Linked DNA regions of Danio rerio. The main gene of each other region encodes a partner of the protein of the gene in region 3 in a complex. Links are inferred from orthologs where the notes say so. Each region holds a gene or a part of one and is shown on either strand. Other genes may lie near its edges.

Region 1 (3,997 bases), on a different chromosome or scaffold from region 3:
CTACAAATACCAAACAAAGCAATAGAATGAGATCTTTAAAAATACTTACTCATCTTTACTTTTGCGAACGGAGTGAACATTTGGAACAAAGGTTTTCTGCAAGGGAAATAAAAACACAGCGAGTCAATTAATAATTGCTTGGTTCATTATTAAAGTAACACTCATATTTATTACACATGACCAGATAGTAATTAGACTAAAATTCTAATAAACTGACAAGTATAAACATAGTATGAGGCATTGACATGATGACCTAATTTGATGTCTGCATTAAAAACAATTTACAAAAAATTTAATTTAATTTAATATTAAAAAGAATATTCAATGTAATGAAGTGTCTATAATTTGATGTCTCAGACTTTAGAGAAAGTAAAATGTCAAGAATATGGGTAAAATAATATTATTCTAGTGTAATTTAAAGTAACAGGTGCATTCATGTAAATTTAACCTGCATTTATTAGATAGATAGATAGATAGATAGATCATGTTATCATGTTATGTGATCATGTTAAATTGTATTATACAAATATATCCTAATGGTTATGGTTTTAAAAAAATGCGCTGCACATTTACATTTTCTTCATAATTTTCTCCAAAGCAGGTTTGAAACCATGTTTTTATTGTAAAAAAGCACAATGCAAGTAACATAAGTTAAAGGAATAGTTCACTGAATATTTTAAATGTAATAATGAACTCACCCACAAACCATTATACATTTCTTTCTTCAATTAAACAAAATTTGATATTTTGAATATGTTGAAAACCTGTAACCATTGACCACCATAGTAGGAAAAACAAATACTAAGAAAATCACTGGTTACAATGTGGTAAAGTTAGTTTTATTTTCGCACATTCTGACTTTCTCCTTAATAATATAATTTCAAACAAGTATTATTGTTTTATTAATGTTGTATCACAATTATACAACATTGTCCACAGCCAAATAAATAGTGCTAATGTTGTTTTGAAGTTACATGTGATTTCAGTCCTAATATTCCTGATAAAGTACTATGGTAAACAATACTAAGGTAAAGTTGATTTTGTATTCGCACGATTGTTCAGTTTTTAACAGCGACAACTTGTGACACGCTCCCTGTATTGTTCAACAAGCTACTTTGACTATTCAGTCTGAAATAGCATGTAAGGATGTCTTCAAAACAACATTGGCACTATTTAACTGACTTTAGTTGTTAATGTTTCCCTTTGACAGTTGTTGGCTGCTAATATTAATTCATTATTTAGAATTTGCAAACAATACTTTTCTCTAGTTATATTATTAAGGAGAAAGCATGAATGTGTGAATATAAAACTAACTTAACCAAGTTACCGTAAACGATATAGTGAGCATTAGGCATGGGACAATAACCGTTTTCGAGGTGTACTGCGGTTTGGAAAAATCAAGGTTTTAAAACTGCCGAAATCTTTTGCTATACCGTTTCCTAAGGTATGTATTTGTTTGTTTTTTTTATTTATATTTTAATTATTATTTATTTTATCTCGTTTTTTTTTTATTTTTTTTTGTTTTGTTTTTTTTTAGGACAAATCTCCGACAACAAAAACATATCTAAAGGTGCTACTTTAAATTGTAAAGAAATTTGAGTTTTTGAAACTAATGAAGACAGCAGAAGTCAAAGACTTGTTTTAATTATTTACTGTAGCCTGACATGTTTACTGTTGGAAAATATTTAAAATGTTTCTCAAAGTAAATTTTTTGTATTTAAAGTGGAAAAAAAGTTTGTTTTTTACCCAGAGATTTAAAAAGAATATATTTTAGAGAAGTAATCACAATACTGTGAAACCGTGATATTTTTTATCCAAGGTTATCATCCCGTCAGAATCTTGTATCGGCCCATGCCTAATGATCATATCACAAGTTCTGAATGAACGAGCGAATACAAAACCAAATTTAAAATCTCAATAATAGTTACAGGTTTCCAGCATTTTTCATAATTATTTATTTTGTGTTTAAGGTAAGGTAAGGTAAAACTTTATTGTCCCAGTTAGGGAAATTTGTCTTGTGATGACTGCAGCTGAGGGCAAGAGCCCAAACATGGACAAAACAATAAACATCCAAAACACAAACAAGTAATTCAATAAATTCAACACAAGACAGAAACGAATAACGTTAAAGGTTTGAAACAAGGAAAGAGTAAGTAAATGATGACAGAATTTTTATTTTTTTGCGTGAACTATCCCTTTAAACCAATCTTTTGTCTTTGTTAAAGATTAAAAACAGCATTAAAAAGGTATTAGAATGAGTAACCTTTTTAAATCCTCCCAGGGTCAGGTCTCTGGACCGCAGGGAGGTCAGTCTGCCTGGTGGAGGAGGATTGTGTGAAATTCTCCCTGGCAGTCCTTTAACGTTGCCCAGAGCAAAAGACGGTCTGAAAGTGGAAGATGAGCTCGCCTCCGCGTCCCCATCTCCATGATCACACATCCTGCCAAACACACAAACAACAAACCCTACTGAGCAGCGTGCAATATGTGATTACTCAGACTCAAACAAAGGTGAAAACCTTAATTTTCCAAGAGAAACGCTCGTTCAAAATACACTAAATGTGCGCTGACTTGGATTTCAAGACGCGCGCGCCTCCATTTTGTTAGCAACCTATGCTATCAAAACAAAGCCTTTCATAGCACTTTATGACATTTAGACGGACATATTTAAAAATGCTGCGCACGGCTGCATTAGAGATAAGTGAAAATAAATACTATACGTACTTGAAATTTGTGTAAACTGCTCACATCATATCTGCCGAACTCTTCCAGCTGACAGCTACATCCTTGCAGGAGCATCATTGGTCACGTGACACGAGCCCTCTGTTAGGAAAAGATTACTCAGACATTTTATATTATATTATATTATATTATATTATATTATATTATATTATATTATATTATATTATATATCATTTTTTAATATTTACATATTATTATTTTATATATCATCTATATTATATTTTATTTTATATTATTATATCATTTTATATTATATTTATCACAATAACAAATTTTTTAATAAAAATAAATAAAATATATTTAAAGTTTTTATTTGTCCATTTAGTCTTATGGTGTCATCATGATGGTTTTGTTAATAAACTCTCAATTAATAAAATATTAATAAACTTTTAACTTAAAAAAAATTATAAGTGCTGTATATTAAATAATAATGAACTAATTTTAAATATTTTGTTTTTAACGGTTATTTTATCTGAACAATAAATAAACATTTTGTTTCAAATCTATTTACATATATATTTATAGCTATTTTTATAAATATCATATTGTATTAGGCCTATATAATGATATACTATAATAACTCTGGACTGTATTTCATAAATACTCTTTAAAATTGTAAATGGTAAATTTTAATTTAATGCACAAACATTTTAAACATATTTATTTATAGTTTTAATTTAATGCACAAACATTTTAAACATATTTATTTAAAGTTTATTTCATTCCTTTTATATGGTCTCTTTTGTGTCATAAAATGGTTTATTATCGGACTGAATTTTAAAACTACTGTCTATGAAATTTCGTGTTTTGTGTAAAATATACTCAATATTTGTACAATACATTTATTTTGAATATTATGCATTAACAAGTATAAAATAAAACTAAAATGAAAAGGTGAAAAATAAAAACATATTTTATAAAAAACTGTTGTAAAAGTAACCACTTCAGTAAGTTTTGGGACACAGACCCCTTCCATCCACCCTTCTTCTAACTCATATTGAACAAAGGGCGGCACTCAACTTTTGGCTGCCCTCACTTTTTTATTCCTATTTATATTATATTATATTATATTATATTATATTATATTATATTATATTATATTATATTATATTATATTATATTATATATTTTGCTAGCAGAGAGCTTATCATTCCTGTTAGAAAAAGATATAATAATATAATATAATATCTAGTTTTTCACAATAATGAATAAATATTGTTCATTAAAATAATGTAAATACATTTAAAGTTTATATTTG
Region 2 (4,156 bases), on a different chromosome or scaffold from region 3:
CGTACCACCAAGAGTGAAGCGTGAGGGTGGATCAGTGACGGTTTGGGCTGCAATATCATGGCATTCTCTAGGCCCAATACTTATGCTAAGTGGGAATGTCGCTGCCTAGGACTACCAAAATATTCTGGAGGACCATGTGCACTCCTGAAGCCAGTGTCGTGTATCAGGATGATTATGCAACAAGACTCACAGCAAGACTGGTGACAGAGTGGTTTGATGAACATGAAAGTAACGTTGAACATCTCTCATGGCCTGCACATTCACCAGATCTAAATATTATTGAGCCACTCTGGAGTGTTTTGGGGGAGCAAGGTAGAAAACATTTTCCCCACCAGCATTACAAAGTAACCTGGCCACTATTCTGCAAGAAGAATGGCTTAAATCCCTTTGGCCACTGTGCAGGACTTGTATCTGTCATTTCCAAGACCAATTGATGCTGTATTGGCTGGGCTGCAAAAGGAGGCCCTAGACCAGGGATGTCAAACTCAATTCCTGGTGGGCCGCAGCCCTGTACAGTTTAGTTCCAACCCTAATTAAACACACCTGATCAAACTAATTAAGTCCTTCAGGCTTGTTTAAAACCTACAGGTAAGTGTGTTGGAGCAGGGTTGGAACTAAACTGTGCAGGGCTGCGGCCCTCCAGGAATTGAGTTTGACATCCCTGCCCTACACCATACTAATGAATTATAAATTAATCTAAAACCAGGAGTTTCAATTTCATTGTCCAACCCCTGTGTGTGTGTGTACACATATACACACACACACACACACACACACACACACACATATACACACATATACACACATATACACACACATATATATATATATATATAGTTTATTTTGTGGAGTTAACAGTAATACTTGTATATGCGTGTTGACCAGATCATCCCTGCATCATAAGAAAGTTGCAATCTTGAAAGTACAATGTTTACATTATTTAGCAATGTTGGACCTGTAATCATTGGTTTTTGAAAAGTGTTTTATATACTTTATTAATATGTGCTTTATATTTATACCTTCTCAATCAAATATTTGCCCTGAAATTCTAAATAAAGGGAGGAATATGATCACATACGAGTATATCTCTGAGTATGTACTTTAAATTGTAAAAAAAAATAAATCTAGATAAAGTCTTTTACATGTGGTCAATACAAACTATTAATGAATTGAATTTTAGAAATGTTACTATATAGTAAGATATATATCGTTATCAATATATGAGATGACATATCATTATACATGATTTGTCATATCACCTAGTCCAATTTGGAGGTGTTTGTTTATTTATTAATTTATTATTTATTGCCACATCAGCAACTTATGGCTATTTCGTGGCAAAATGGATATTCATAAAATATTACATGAAAAAACGAATTCGTATTACAATAAAAAAAGTTACTTACACGAATATAAAAAATATAAATACAAAAAAATTCACACAAAAAAAATATTCAAAGTCAAATATGATTTTTCAGTTAATTTTTTAATTAATAATTTAAAACTCTTCCTGATGGTACCTTTTTAAAAGTGTCCACTGAAGTACCCTCTTTAAAATAATTTTGTCTAATGGAATTTAAACTTCTACATTCCAACAAAACATGTTTTATGGTAAGAGCAGCCTGGCAGTAATTACATTTACGTAGTGCTTCTTTTTTCAGTAAATATAAATGTGTCAACTTAAAATCCAATCCTCCAATTCCACATCTGGTGTAGGCCATCTGATCATGCCTAGTCTGAAAATTATAATTTGCTAAACGTCTTTCATTTATTTTCGGGTTAATTTCATGCAATTTATTATTTATGCAGTTGTCCCATTCTCTTTGCCATGTTTCGTTTATGAACAAATGGACTGTGGGTTTCAAGTCCTCAGGAGGAATTAAACATTCTGTCACATTCAAGGAGATAGCCTGTTTTGCTGCATCTGGAGATGTTTGTTAGATCACATCAAAAAACAAGCACCTCATACATGATGGTGTTGAGATTCTGCTGCCCGGTGCTGTGCTTATTTTTAACCATCTCCTTTCTTTTTTCTTTCAGGTCTGTCAGCAGCTGATAGACCTGGTGGAGTAGAGAACACTTCTATAGCCACAAACAATAAAAAGTACACTTTTTGTTTTTTTATTCGAAAGTTTTAAAATTCATACTGACCTCATAATTGCTCAGCATAGCAGCATTGGCATCCCTCCTACAAAAGAATACTATTAATATTATTATTAGTTTACTTTAAATCATGTACAGTAACCGGAAATTAATAAATGAGTACAATGTGCAGAAGGTACAGTAAAAAATATTTCAACATTTACCGTTTTTAATATAAAAGATTAACAACGTTTATTTTTGTTCAGTTTCTAAAATTACTAATGTATTGTCATCTCTTAAAAATTTGATTCTTAAATTTTGATTTAACACTGTTAGATCACTGTTTAGAGTTTGTATTTACAAGCAAAACTAGTCAGAGACACACTAAATCCATTGGCTATAAATTTAAAACTTTAAAGACTATGTGAAGGGCTTGTGGATAAGATTTTTAAGACGTATTCTGTGAATCATGTTTACACCTAAAAAACACAGTAGGAATTACAACATAACGTTATGCAGTTTGTCGTTATAACGAGGATGTCCACGTGAGCAGCATTCCATTGTCATTGTTATCCTGCAAAGTAGTTTTCCCCGTCAGACCACCACATAATAAGTATTTTAACTAAAAAGGGAAAATAAATGTTCTCGAATATAAACATATAAAAGTAAAATATGTTGCTTACACTTCCATCCTGCTCGCTTTGTTGGTTCAACATCTAACAACAATCCGTCGAGAAAACGAAGCTGTGTTAAACGTTCCCCCTCAGTCGTCTTGTTCAAATCGGTTCAAATGCTACAAATATTTAAAACAGATAAGATTTCAATATTTTTTGTTTACTATGTATAGATTATAATTGCACCAACAATGAATTAATAGAATGTATATATATATATATATATATATATATATATATATATATATATATATATATATATATATATATATATATATATATATATATATATTTTAGGTAAAATGACAGTATTGCATATTGTTGGTATAGATAAACCCTGATGAATGAAGAACAAGATCTAGTCTCGGACCATAATGCAAATTTTAGTTGTAAATGATACCATCAAGGTATTTCCAAAAATTAAGATTGAAATCTGTATGTTATCTAAATAAGGCTGCAGGCTGCTTTAAATGGCGTAGTATTGGTTAAAATGATTAAACAGCTAAATTAAACATATGATGAAAAATTGGTTAATGTTTTTTCCCCTAATATTCATTTTACGTTATATCCTAAACACATCCTAAAACTAATGACATAAATCACAAGTTCTCTGTGGACGAATTTATTTTATAAATACATGAAAGCATTATTCTTTCATTTTCCTTCAGCTTAGTCCCTTTATTCATCAGCGGTTGCCACTGCGGAATGAACCGCCAACTTATACAGCATATGTTTTACATAGCTGATGCACTTCCAGCTGCAATCCAGTACTGCGAAACATCCATACACACTTTATTAACAATCACCCACATATGGACCGGAGCAAAACACACGTCAACACGGGGAGAACATGCAAACTCCACACAGACATGCCACCTTGCTGTGAGGCCACAGTGCTTTCCACTGAGCCACCGTGTCGCCCCATTAAAGCATTATCTTTCATTTTAATTAGACAATGACGCCATCCATCGTCCATGACCGTCACTGCATGCTGATTTATAAAAGTGTATTTTCCTTAAGAGAGGCGGTTCTGTAGCCTTCGGTATAGTTGACGGGATTGGTTACTCAAATGAACGACAGCTCCCGAAAAATCGCGCTTATGATTTTGATTAGTTCACAAACACCTCATTTGCATATTATGGGCGGGGCGTGCTTGGTCCCAAAATAAACGAGGAGGAAATGCAGTCCGGTCGCTGTTGGATGTGCAGGCTCTTACTGTAATTTATCCCTCGAATACTTAAAAGCACTGATTTGTTCCTTTAATTATATGACATTTCCTCATTCTGTTTGAATCATACGCTTTAGTTTTCCGTTTGCTCATCGCACGTAGGTCGCTACTCTAGAGACTGTTACAATGGCAAGTTCAGAGGTAAATATAGCTATTTAATTTCTGATTTTGC
Region 3 (3,515 bases):
GCTGTGAGGCGACAGCACTATTTACTGCGCCACTGCATCGCCCCATAATGCGTGTGTACGATGTATTTATTATATAGACACTATGCAGTTTCTTGACCACAATGAGAGCATAAATCCTAGCAATATTGTCTTTTTAATTTTCTGTCAGTATAAATAAAAGCTACAATTTTATATAATACAACGTGACTACAGAAGACTCGAGCTTTAAATAGGAAAACTATTAACATTTTTTTAATTCTTTCAACGAAATGCAAATGGTCTAATCCAATTTAATGCATTATGCTAAGCTAAGCTAAAAGAGACGCCTCCAGAAAGAAAGAAATCGTCTAAATGGATTCAAAAATGTTTCAAGTTAACTGTTAAACTCTAGGAGACTAGTGAAAAGAGCATGTTCCTGTAATGCTGTGTCCACACCAGATGTGGCATGCGCTATTCGCTCGTTTATAAATGTGTGAACATTTTGAGTTTACTCGCTTCATTTGTGCATCATCCGCTTCACAACAGATGCAGGATCGCATCATGGTTAGGGCTTGTCTTCCTGGCAACTGTAGCTTTGTTGCTAAATGGCTAACATAGATTTTATTGAGTGAATAGCTGTTTTTACGTGCTTTATGAAGGCTGAAAAACAGCATCAATTCGTTTGGAGCCATGTCTGAGTCCACTATATCCTTTCTGAGTTGCAACCAGCTCTGTGAGTTCATAAACTCCTCCAGAAACATAATCTGGATGATGGAGGCATTCAGCAGTGCTTCTGATTGAGCCGAGCCCAGTTTGATCAACGGTTGTCAGTGTCGGCAGGGGGATTTTCCCTCAGGACACCAACAACAGGCGCTACGTCATAAGCATACCCCATACAAGAACAAGCTCCTGATTGGTTAATGTGGTGAAGCCTCCTGATTGGTTAACTGTCTGCTGAAGTTCAGATTTTACCAAATCGGGCAATTCGCTCGAAACGCACGTCAAGTGTATCAATAGCGCAAAATGCTCAACTTGCACCACATCATTCGCGCCACCTCATTCGCGTGTATCGCGCAGGATATATATTCGCAGCTTTGCTTTGACTTAACATGTAAATCACTCGCACTTGGCACTTCTTCCGCGTCTGGTGTGGACGCAGCAAAAGAGTTAAACTTAGATTCAGACCATTCAAATTTAGATATAAGAATTGCCAAACTAAGAATGCAGAATAAATAATTGATACTGATATTAAACATCATAACAATCAGAATTCAGAACCCCTAAATTTGGAATATTCAGACTCGTCAAATTGTCGAATCTACTCAAATTAAGAATTCAGAGTCATCATATTCAGAATTCAGACCAACCAATTCAGAAAATGTAGAAACCAACATTTTAAATCCAAAATACTGCTTCATACAATACAGAATTATGAAGATTCCTAATACAGACTAGGGCTGCATGAATTCACAATATTTTATTTATACGATATATATTGTGATATTGAATCAAAAATTTCACCAGATGAATTGAATAAGTCTTTTTGGAAAGAGAGACTGAATCTACATAAAATATAATAAACCAATCACAAACATTGAGATATATAATAGTGCACTACACCATACAGATTAAATAAACAGTGCTTTTTGATTTGTCTGGAAGTCTAACAATATTCACATACATAAATGTAAAATAACACTGTATGGTCTTTGTCGTATAAAATATATATATAAATACAATGAATCGCTTTTAAAGTTAGAAACATTTTTTTATGCCTAAATATTTTAATCTAACTTAAATGATAAAGACACACATAAGTAATACATGTCTTGTATGTTTATGGTTAAACGTTGCAATACCTCCACAAATCATGAGAGTTTCAAATGTAGCTCCTGGTCAAAAATAATACCTGTTCAACATTGCAGATCCTGCGATGTGACTATTGCAAAATGCGCATATTGTGATATCGATGCTGAAACTACATATTGTGCAACGCTCATACAGACTCTTCAGAATTCCCAATCACCACATCTAGGATTCAGACTAAGCCCAATAAGAATTCAGGCTTTAGAATTATCAATTTCAAATCAGACTTATCAAAATCAAGACGGAAATTTAGATTTAACCGATACAGACTCAGGCACAGTAATTCATATTGGAAACATTTTAGAACATTCTGAATTACTCCATTCAGACTTGTTTAATAGTTTCTTTCAAAAAAAAAAAAAACAGTAAAGGTTTACCGGGCACAGTCCACATGGTGTTTTAACCAGGCCAGTGGGTTGAATTATGGGATTGACTCCCCTGTAGAGCTTCATCTGTCCATCCACACTCCCTACTGTTCCCTCTTTAGCGGCAATTATGGTCATTTCCACTTTTCCATCAAAGATCAGTGTGTTCAAGATGGTCTCGATGTCCTCCATGGACAGATCCACCTGCACACAGGAGCAGCATATTATACTGAATTTTTCCGTTCATGTTTTCAGAAAGCATATTATTGACACTCACTTTGCTGATGCCGAGCTCACAGATGTATTTCCACACTTCATGAGAGGTGGCAAATGAGCTGTTTCTCTGCACCATAGGGCTCTGCTTACTATCTCTCGCTGTTTCAGCCTAAAAAACAAACATATTGCTAATTATTAAAAATTTCACATTTTTAAGTAAATGCAGGGTTTATTTTACTGTAAAATATGGATAAAACTAAATTCCATCATTCAGTCATCATTCACAAAGGTGGAGTGTTTCTTTAAGAGTCAAATTTGGAAATAACCAAATTAGGAAGTCAGAATCAACAATTCACACTAATATTCAAAAATCATCACATTCAGAATTCAGAACCGTTGAATTTGGAAAATTGAGACTCAACTTCAATCAACTTCAGAATTAACTTACATATTTCTGATTAATTCGGTGTCACACTAGTAAGTTGAAACGCAGTTTAAGGTTTGCTTTCACACCTATAGATCAATTTTTTTGTTCTGAAAATTGCTACAATGTTGCTTTTTGTTCTTGATGCGTTTTGCTTTCACATGACAAAGTTTATAGACAGATCAAAATAATTAAAACAAGCAACTGAACACCGAAGCGCTCTAGATTTTAAGCCGAGACCATCTCATTCATTCATTTTGGCATTCATAAGAACTCAATCGCGGATTTCACATATGCCCAAACAAAAGCTAAGGTGGCAAACGTGCCACATTACGAAACAAACGTCTAGCTCAAAACTTTTTTTTAATGGGTCTGCTTAAGTTATGATTAACTGATATTTGGCTTTGTTATTTACTAATGCGGGTTTCTTAACCTGATAAAAGGATTCACCTTAAAATAACCCAGAGAATTTTATTTCTTATAAAATTATTTATTATTTTACATTTATGCAAACAGAATTTATTTATTTCTTATTTTAATATGTTAAGGTGAAATAAGAGACAATAATTTATCTATGTTAATTAATAGCATCATTTATACAGTCATACAGTTATATCCATTAGATTTTAATTAATGACTGCCAAAACAAAAAGTTTTTTTTTTTCAGTAGACTGTCTTGCCTGGAT
Region 4 (4,130 bases), on a different chromosome or scaffold from region 3:
CGATTGAAGTCAGACTGCAGACGGAAATTATTGAGTCTCTACCCAAAGATGAAACCTCAGCATTAGCCCGGCATTGAGCAGTTGGAAACTACTGGAAACTACATGCTACAAAGAATACTTCATCGGTCGTTTGTTAAAGAAAGGATCAGTAAAGACTGCTGATGGACATGCCAGGACATGGATCGGTTTCTTCCTCCATTTCTTAAGTGTAAGTACGTGCGATTAAAGTTGTTGCCTCGTTTACTCTAGCTTGCAAATGTATTTAGTTATGATTTGTTACTTATAACCGCTTGTACTGTATCAGGTTAACTCGCTATATTCTCGTATCGTGTGCAAAGCCACGTTAAAAAATGTGACGCGTGCCGCTTTGTTTGCGGACCTCTGTGGAGGAGGGTAATGTGTGTGTGTGTGTGCGCGTTGTCGTCCGGAGGAGGATTATGTGTGTGTGTGTGTGTGTGTGTGTGTGTGTGTGTGTGTGTGTGTGTGTGTGTGTGTGTGTGTGTGTGTGTGTGAAAAGAGCAGAGTGTGACAAGCTAGGAGATCTCCTCGCCAATTCTTGGAGTTTTTGCTCAATAAAATAGTTAGTCGTTGGTATTTTCAAGTCCATCGCCTGTATTTACATTCACCCACTGGCAGCTAAAATCCACACCTTACAATATGAAGTGTGTATGCACTGTGACTACTTCTATATTGTTGATTAGCTGCTGGGCATTTCACTGTCTCTCGCTGAAGGTAGTCAGTGTCGACCAATCGCAACAGACTGTCATCGGTCCAATCAGCGCAGATTAGTTTCAAGCTAAGGAGGGGTTTGGGAACAAATGAATCACTGGACGATTCATATGGTAGTCGCTGGGATAATTATGTAAAAATAAATGCAAATTATAAGACCATGAAAGTGTTTTTTGACCTTGCATGCATATTAGACTGTTGTTGGAGACCCTTACAGCCCTATTTCATGTATAATATGGGCTCTTAAAAAATATAAACATTTCAGATTCCAATTTTTTTTTTTAATAGTTTTATTCTGTTTGGATTTTGGAAACAATGGATATCCTATCCTAACAAACCACACATCCAAGAGAATCTTATTTTTTAAGCTATCAAAGAAAGCTTTAAATAGTGACATTACCAGGTCAAGAGCCAGTTTGGTCTCATGGGCAAGAGCTCTCAAGGTCAGAACTCCATTGCGGATGAGATGAGTGCCCACATTTTCCACCACATCACCAAAGTGCTCCTGCAGCAACAGCCCACACAGACGCACCTCCTGTGCTGTCATCTGTAGGACAGAGAGCAACAATCAAATCACAATCTGTAGTCAATTTATCTATGAATAATGTATAATTCTTTTTAGACATGTCAACTTGCAAACTAGTGTTGGTTGGTTTTTTTGCTCTAATTGCACAATTAGTTTTTTTCCAGCCTATTCTTGTTTCAGACTTGCACACAAAACGCATTGCAATCAATTTCCAAAATGTCACTTGTGGGAAAATATTACAAAGCCTGGGATTTTAACAGAGACCAGAGATGCTGAGAATGGATAACAAGACAGAACAGCACACAATATGCTGAACCAGGCAAAGTAAGATTTTTGTAAGGATCTCAGATTTTTGTTCTTTATTAAAAACACTTTACAAATGTACAAACCTTGTCATTGTCCTCAGCCAAATTGAACGTTCAGGTTTAATAATTTTGTGATGCTAAAAACTGTTATTTAGAAAAAAGAAAAACTTCAGAAATAGCAAGTTTAAGTTGCTATCATACACGTAAACTGATTAAAAACATGAAATTATAAAGTCTACAAATAATTACTACAAATATATATTACAAATACTTTTACAATTGTCCCCATGTTTCTGTCAGTCCTGTCACATTTGCCTTAAATTTAACATAAAATGTGTGCTATACACCTTTAAGGCTATGACTTGGAAGTGGCATCATTTGATGGGGAAGCAGACATCAAGGATACATTCTATCATTAAACTGTTTTATTTTTTATTTTAATTATTTATTTATTTATTTATTTTTTTGAGGAAGACAAGCTTAAAGGTCAGGCCCTGTCATTTATTTTATAAATAAAAATGTATGTTTCTGGTAGAATGTCTCATATATTTGGAAATCATTAAATCTAATTTGTACAGAGCACCTTTGTATATGCCTCATATGTAGTTTTCTATAGGTCAGCAACTAAAAAGGCAAATCAAATATTGTTCATGCACTTGATGTTCTTGTTCAGTCACTTAATGTAATCATTTTTCAATGTGTGCATACAGTTGTCAACATTTAGTGAATCAACTTTGATGAATATGTTGACTAATATGTTATCAGTTATTAATGTTTACATACATGATTTCGTGTTATTTATGGTCTACCCACATTTCCTTATTAATAAAACTGCTCACAATTTTAATATTACAGTTTTCCTCCTTAATCTGTAACGTTTACCTGTAACCATCAAAAATACATGTAAAGTCTTGTAACTATACATGGAGTTACTAGAAACACAAGCTACACAAGCTATAACTAAAAGCATCAGTTTAAAAACAAAACATTTTGTCAACAAAGTGCAAAAGTAAACATTCATATTTGCGTTTTGACTGGCTACTAACACTGGATTAGCGCAGAATTAGTTGTTGTCTGGCCTTTCCACAAAGCAAACATCTCACAAAGGCTAAACAAAGCACAGATGCACATGCTTAAAGACAAACTTACCTCTAAAAAGTAAGTTATCTAGATATCCGTATGTGTTATTTAGATGAGTTCACACTTTTTGATCTCACGTGTGTTGTCCAGACGGTGTGCAACGACAAGCACTGACGAATTTCCGTGGTTTGATCACGTGGAGGCGGAGCTCTGGTGTGTGAAGCTTGAGTGAATCGCTATCATGAACGGAATCTTTTTGCGGATCAAAAGAACCGAATGAATAATGAAAAATGAATCACTGTTTACTCACACTCGGGTGTTTTTTATGAAATTACTTTTTTTTATTTGAATAAACAAAAGGGTATTTTGAAAAAAAAAATGTTAGGAAATATCAGTTTCAGGAAAAAATACTATTTAAGTAGTTTTTGTTTTGTTTGTCAGAAGTCAAACAGGTTTGTAGGTAGAAGAATATTTTTTTGGAGTGAACTACAATTATCAGAGTAAAGTTCAATTAGGTGAATTACATGCTAACATATAATATTAGACTGACATAATAGCATATATAATAATATGTAATGGTCTTTTTTTGTTTTAATTTTACATTGTTCTCGAATAAAGCCCTCTCTGATCCCTGTAATACTAGTAAAACGCACACTTCACACAGCCTTATGTAAATAATTTTGACTCAGTATGTTGTTTTGATCAGCTCAGTCAAACGACTCCCCTGAGTGAGTCGACTCGCCTCAATGACTCGCACTACTGAGTGCTCATTGCCAAAGCACCTCCCTCTGCAGTGGGCGGACCGACGCTCGGCCAGCGCTGCTGCTGCTGTTGCTGTTTGGGACACAGGCAGTCTCACAGAAAACATGGCGGAGGCTGCTGCGGTCCCTCCGCATCGCTTCTTCTGTCACTGTTGTAAGGGTGAAGTGAGTCCCAAACTACCGGTGAGTCCGTGTCGCTGGTAGCGCGCAGCCGGCTCAAGTTAATGTCTTTCTGTAGTTCTGCTGTCGCTCTCGCAGGTTCCGCTGTTGTGCTAAAGTTAGCATGTTAGCAGTGTATCAGCCTGATGTGGGCGAAAGGCCTGTCGTGGTTTGTTGTTTGTGTATAAACACTAAAAAACACATGTATTTACCGATGACCGGTTTTATTAGATGTTAGACAGGTGCTTGTTAACGTAACATAAGCGGAAACCAACAGGTTTTGTGTTTAGCACCAATGCTACACTCATTTCTTGTGTTTTTGTACTGTAAATGATGACTTTTTCACATTTCACGACATGTTCAGTTTTGATAAGTGTTCAGTTATTAATGTCAGCTTTTAGAAACTTTCAGAAATGTCCTTAAATCACATCGACACTGAACTCTTCTCAGAAGTGAAACCGGAGTGCTAATGTTTCTGTTTCTGTTTTACTTGTTTATAATGTCGCATTTGCCGTAAATTATATCACAAATTCTGCAATGAACGTCAACATTTAGCACTTGGTGGTCAGT
Region 5 (3,995 bases), on a different chromosome or scaffold from region 3:
AACCACACTAGAAACACACTAAAGGACACACCAATCCATACTAGATACATACTAACAAACATACTAAAAATATATTAATCCACATTTGAAACATAGTAATAATATACCAATCCATGGAAGAAAAACATAACATACTCCAAATATACCAATCCATACTAGAAACATAATAAACCACATTAAAAAACAAACCAAGGCCACACCAATTCATACCATAAAACATAATAAAAATATACTAATCCATACTAGAAACATACAAACAATATACCAATCTATACTAGAAACATACTAACGGACACACCAATCCATACTAAAACATACTAAAAATATACTAACCCACACTAAAACATACTAACAATATACCAATCTATACTAGAGACATAAACCACACTAGAAACATACTAAGGACACACAAATCCATACTAGAAACATACTAACAAACATACTAATAATATACCAATCCAGACTAGAAACATACTATAATAATCTAATCCACACTAGAAACATACTAACCATATACCAATCTATACTAAAACATACCAATCCATACTAGATACATGCTGACCTATATGTAGTTATCAATCTATGCCGACTGTTTCAAAATTCTTAAAAACTATTTCAATTAATTAAACTTTAAAACTACTTCAAACTTTCAGACTAGTCTCAGTCAATCCACCATAAGTTTGTGAGCAAACTTTACTTTTCAAGTTTCATTTGTTTACCTGCAGTGGAATCCACATTTTCCCAAGCAGCAGATCCTCCAAGAACATCATCAACCTCCTTCAGTTTGGGGTACTTTCTGTTGTTTACCTGTTAAAGCACATAAACAGGTTTGTTTTCCTATTTTTTTATCAGGTCAATGATACTGTCTATGCCTGACCATAAACCTAACCCTCATAGAAACAAGCTTCAATTGTTAGATACTAATAAAAACAAGGATGGTTCAAGGTGATTTATAAGTGTTTTTAATTTTACTGCAAGTTGCTGAGACTTATTTTAGTATGTTGAAGGACCTCAAACTGAAACTGCATATTGAGTAGGGGGCGGGGCTTTCTTTTTGCACATCATTCCCTCATCAACTAAAGGTAAGAGGGGCGTGGTTAGGAATATTGTGGATGCATCTGCCAAACTGACATCATCAGAGAAGGACTGCCACTCCAAACGCCAGAGCAAATGGTCAGACTTTGAAGATTATCAGAACAAAGATTTTTTTTTTCGGTGAATTAGCTTGCATGGATTTATCATTTACCTAAAGAATAGCATTGTGTGCTTGTAAAATAAACACTGTAAATTTGGATTTCACACAGACTTTAAAGAATATATATGCGGAATGTTGAAAAAAACTATCAATGACATAAATAGCAAAAATACTATGACAAGTGGCTCTTCTTTAATATGTCACTGTATAAATACAGTTGTTACCAGTGTCTAAAACAGCGTCATTTTGAATTCTAATCAGAGTTTGAAATTGACTTTTTCACTTAACAGCCAATTACATTTACAGACCAACTAAGCATTGAAAACTTGTATGTGTTTTGGCCATTTGTTTGCACAACAGCATTTTGGGGGATGCAAAAATGAGTTTTTAAGAGCTATCTTTTAAAAACAATGTCAGTAGTTTATAGAGGTGATTTATTTATCCAGGTTTTGTGTTATGATTCTGAAGTTAGTATTGTCATGTGCTATAATTGCATCTGTGTCTTTAAGACGGGAAACAGGTGGCATGATGGGAAGTTTTGTAATGTTACGGAGTTCATAGACACAAGAGAAGTAAAGAGTGGTGGTAAAATGTTAACCTGCGTGTGGCACTGTGGCTGATTTAATTCAGAAGTATGTGCAATTTATGAATGAACATTTGATGATAAGACACACATACATAAGTATCTATGAAGTGACATCAAATATAAACTTTTAAGTATCCAGATGTTTATCCACCTGAAGCTATAACAATATTTCTAAAAAATTTCTAAAATATTTTTAATTCCTACGTTTTCAAGATAATATAAACGAAGTTCTTGGTTTATTAAGTACATTGAGTAAGTTTATATCTTCTGTTAAACAAAAGAAGATATTTTGAAGAATGTTGCTGGGATCCATTGACTTCAATCAACTCTTATTTCCTACTATGGTAGAAAATGGGTGCCAGCATTATTCAAAATATCTTTTAATGAGAATTTATTCTAAAACTGTAAATTTTATACATAAATATAATAACGTGATGAAATAAAGAGCATTTTAAAGTACAATACAATCTTATAATCATTTAACCATTTCATTTAAGTAACTACTCAGTAACCCAGCGTTATTTATCATGCTCTGAAAGCAATGTTTGATAGAACATAAACACTCCCTCACTCAAATCTATTTTTGTTATATAATTTGTAATGTTAGAAACATTGATCTCATCAGATGTTCCTCACACGTTCTCATATTATCGAATCAAGTCATTTCTTTCGTTTCATTCGAATCGAACTTTTAAATGTCGGCGTTCCGTCGAACTTTAATGCGTTCGAATCAAACGTTCCAAACGCTTATTAGATACAAATTTCCATAACCGGTGTTATGCATTACCTTCCTCGTGATGTTGTGCACATATGGACATGTGTTACACGCGAATCTAAAGCATCGCTGTCCTTCTTCCACGATTAACACATTCCCACATGTCGGACAAAACAGGAGCATTTTCAAACAGTCATAGATTATGTTACGTAGTAAATACAGTTATAGTTTCTTTCTGATGCAACTGAAGTTGGTATTTACACACAGTCCTTTCTAAGTCGCTACAGGAAGCACATGACAATCAATGTGCCTCTGTATTATTGGCTCGCCATAAAACGAAATATAGACAAGGATGAACACTGTTTCTGTTGTATATATTAAACTTAAATATATATGAAAATGTCAACGAATATATTAATGCTGATTAAAAAATATTTTAATAGAAGATTGTTATTGTAATAAAGAATGTGAATCATAAAAAACCTATGCGGAACTAAAGTCGGGTGCATCACTGAAATATTCCGACAGCGTGTTTATAAAAATGAAATGTAAAAAGAAATGCTGGAACGGCTCAAATTGTTAAAGTTACAATTTTTAATACAATAAGCTTCTGCAAAAGGCGTACAGTTTTTTTACGAAATTGTAGTTATGTTAACTATTAACGCTTAGTGACTTTTTTATAAGTCTTGGATTTCTATACCCTCAAAACAAGACGTTTGAAGATAAAATGGACGAAATAAAGGACGAAACCGAGCTCAAAAAAGAGTTAGAGGAGAAAACTGTGGAAGATGAAATAAAAGAGGAGCACGAAGAGGAAGAAGACGAGGAGGCTCTTCCACACTCAGAAATTCTGGACATCTTTGAAGAAGGGCTGGCTCTCATAGTGCAGGACCCGCTTCTGTGTGACCTGCCCATTCAGGTGTACATGCAGTCAAGGGGCTGTTTTAAACGGACAATTCACCCAGATATTAAAATGTTCGGTTAATTGACATCCCAAGATTCTGTTCTTAAGTAGAACAGAAAATACGTTTTTTTTTTAAGTTGAGAACTATGTTTTCCTATGTACGTTATCTATATAATGGTGGTCAAGAAGCGCCATCACTTTGAGTTTAATATATTTAAAATCTTCCTCAGAGCTGTTTGTCCAGGTTGTGAATAGCTGATAATGTAGTTGTAAATACTAGAGGGTAATAGTTCCAGCTTAAAATCTTCTATATTCTACAGATTTTTTTTCAACAGTTTCTTCTCCTCTGTGTCAGTATAATGCTCACATTTATGTGCCGCGTTTGGTTGCACCTCTGACTTGCTTATTACCTCAAATGTGTCTGTGAATTGTTTCAAACTAAGGAAGTCATAGTCAGTACATAAGTGCACACCACTCGTGAACACATGCAATACACTGAGGAGAAGAAACTGTTGAGTAAAGTAGTTATTTTTGTTTTATGTGCACACAGATGTATTCTCGTAGCTTGATAATATTCTGATTGAGCCACTGTAGG

The links.
Region 1: polr3f (region 3) and zgc:171971 share a complex: the UniProt entries of both Homo sapiens proteins name them as parts of the RNA polymerase III complex. The link is inferred for Danio rerio from reciprocal best matches to the Homo sapiens genes POLR3F and POLR3D.
Region 2: polr3f (region 3) and crcp share a complex: the UniProt entries of both Homo sapiens proteins name them as parts of the RNA polymerase III complex. The link is inferred for Danio rerio from reciprocal best matches to the Homo sapiens genes POLR3F and CRCP.
Region 4: polr3f (region 3) and polr3c share a complex: the UniProt entries of both Homo sapiens proteins name them as parts of the RNA polymerase III complex. The link is inferred for Danio rerio from reciprocal best matches to the Homo sapiens genes POLR3F and POLR3C.
Region 5: polr3f (region 3) and polr3k share a complex: the UniProt entries of both Homo sapiens proteins name them as parts of the RNA polymerase III complex. The link is inferred for Danio rerio from reciprocal best matches to the Homo sapiens genes POLR3F and POLR3K.

The regions. Positions count from the first base shown.
Region 1 is NC_133187.1:7,835,671-7,839,667, forward strand, and holds the start of zgc:171971 (uncharacterized protein), read right to left. Parts: upstream 2,805-3,997; 5' UTR 2,751-2,804; coding exon of another isoform or gene 2,746-2,750; 5' UTR 2,722-2,745; intron 2,439-2,721; coding exon of another isoform or gene 2,438-2,438; coding exon 2,264-2,437; intron 97-2,263; coding exon 50-96; intron 1-49. UniProt on the Homo sapiens protein: DNA-dependent RNA polymerase catalyzes the transcription of DNA into RNA using the four ribonucleoside triphosphates as substrates.
Region 2 is NC_133196.1:33,906,784-33,910,939, forward strand, and holds the start of crcp (DNA-directed RNA polymerase III subunit RPC9), read right to left. Parts: upstream 2,807-4,156; 5' UTR 2,774-2,806; coding exon of another isoform or gene 2,766-2,773; intron 2,202-2,765; 5' UTR 2,189-2,201; coding exon of another isoform or gene 2,170-2,188; coding exon 2,152-2,169; intron 2,062-2,151; coding exon 1,963-2,061; intron 1-1,962. Other genes in the region: asl (argininosuccinate lyase), read left to right, coding at 4,111-4,125. UniProt on the Homo sapiens protein: DNA-dependent RNA polymerase catalyzes the transcription of DNA into RNA using the four ribonucleoside triphosphates as substrates.
Region 3 is NC_133197.1:25,881,325-25,884,839, forward strand, and holds part of polr3f (DNA-directed RNA polymerase III subunit RPC6), read right to left. Parts: exon of another isoform or gene 3,330-3,515; intron 2,575-3,329; coding exon 2,467-2,574; intron 2,394-2,466; coding exon 2,202-2,393; intron 1-2,201. UniProt on the Homo sapiens protein: DNA-dependent RNA polymerase catalyzes the transcription of DNA into RNA using the four ribonucleoside triphosphates as substrates.
Region 4 is NC_133191.1:14,591,557-14,595,686, reverse strand, and holds the start of polr3c (DNA-directed RNA polymerase III subunit RPC3), read right to left. Parts: upstream 2,803-4,130; 5' UTR 2,710-2,802; intron 1,277-2,709; coding exon 1,130-1,276; intron 1-1,129. Other genes in the region: rnf115a (E3 ubiquitin-protein ligase RNF115), read left to right, coding at 3,387-3,584. UniProt on the Homo sapiens protein: DNA-dependent RNA polymerase catalyzes the transcription of DNA into RNA using the four ribonucleoside triphosphates as substrates.
Region 5 is NC_133178.1:45,547,101-45,551,095, reverse strand, and holds the start of polr3k (DNA-directed RNA polymerase III subunit RPC10), read right to left. Parts: upstream 2,805-3,995; 5' UTR 2,680-2,804; coding exon 2,569-2,679; intron 808-2,568; coding exon 720-807; intron 1-719. Other genes in the region: snrnp25 (U11/U12 small nuclear ribonucleoprotein 25 kDa protein), read left to right, coding at 3,224-3,415. UniProt on the Homo sapiens protein: Core component of RNA polymerase III (Pol III) which synthesizes small non-coding RNAs using the four ribonucleoside triphosphates as substrates. Can mediate Pol I proofreading of the nascent RNA transcript.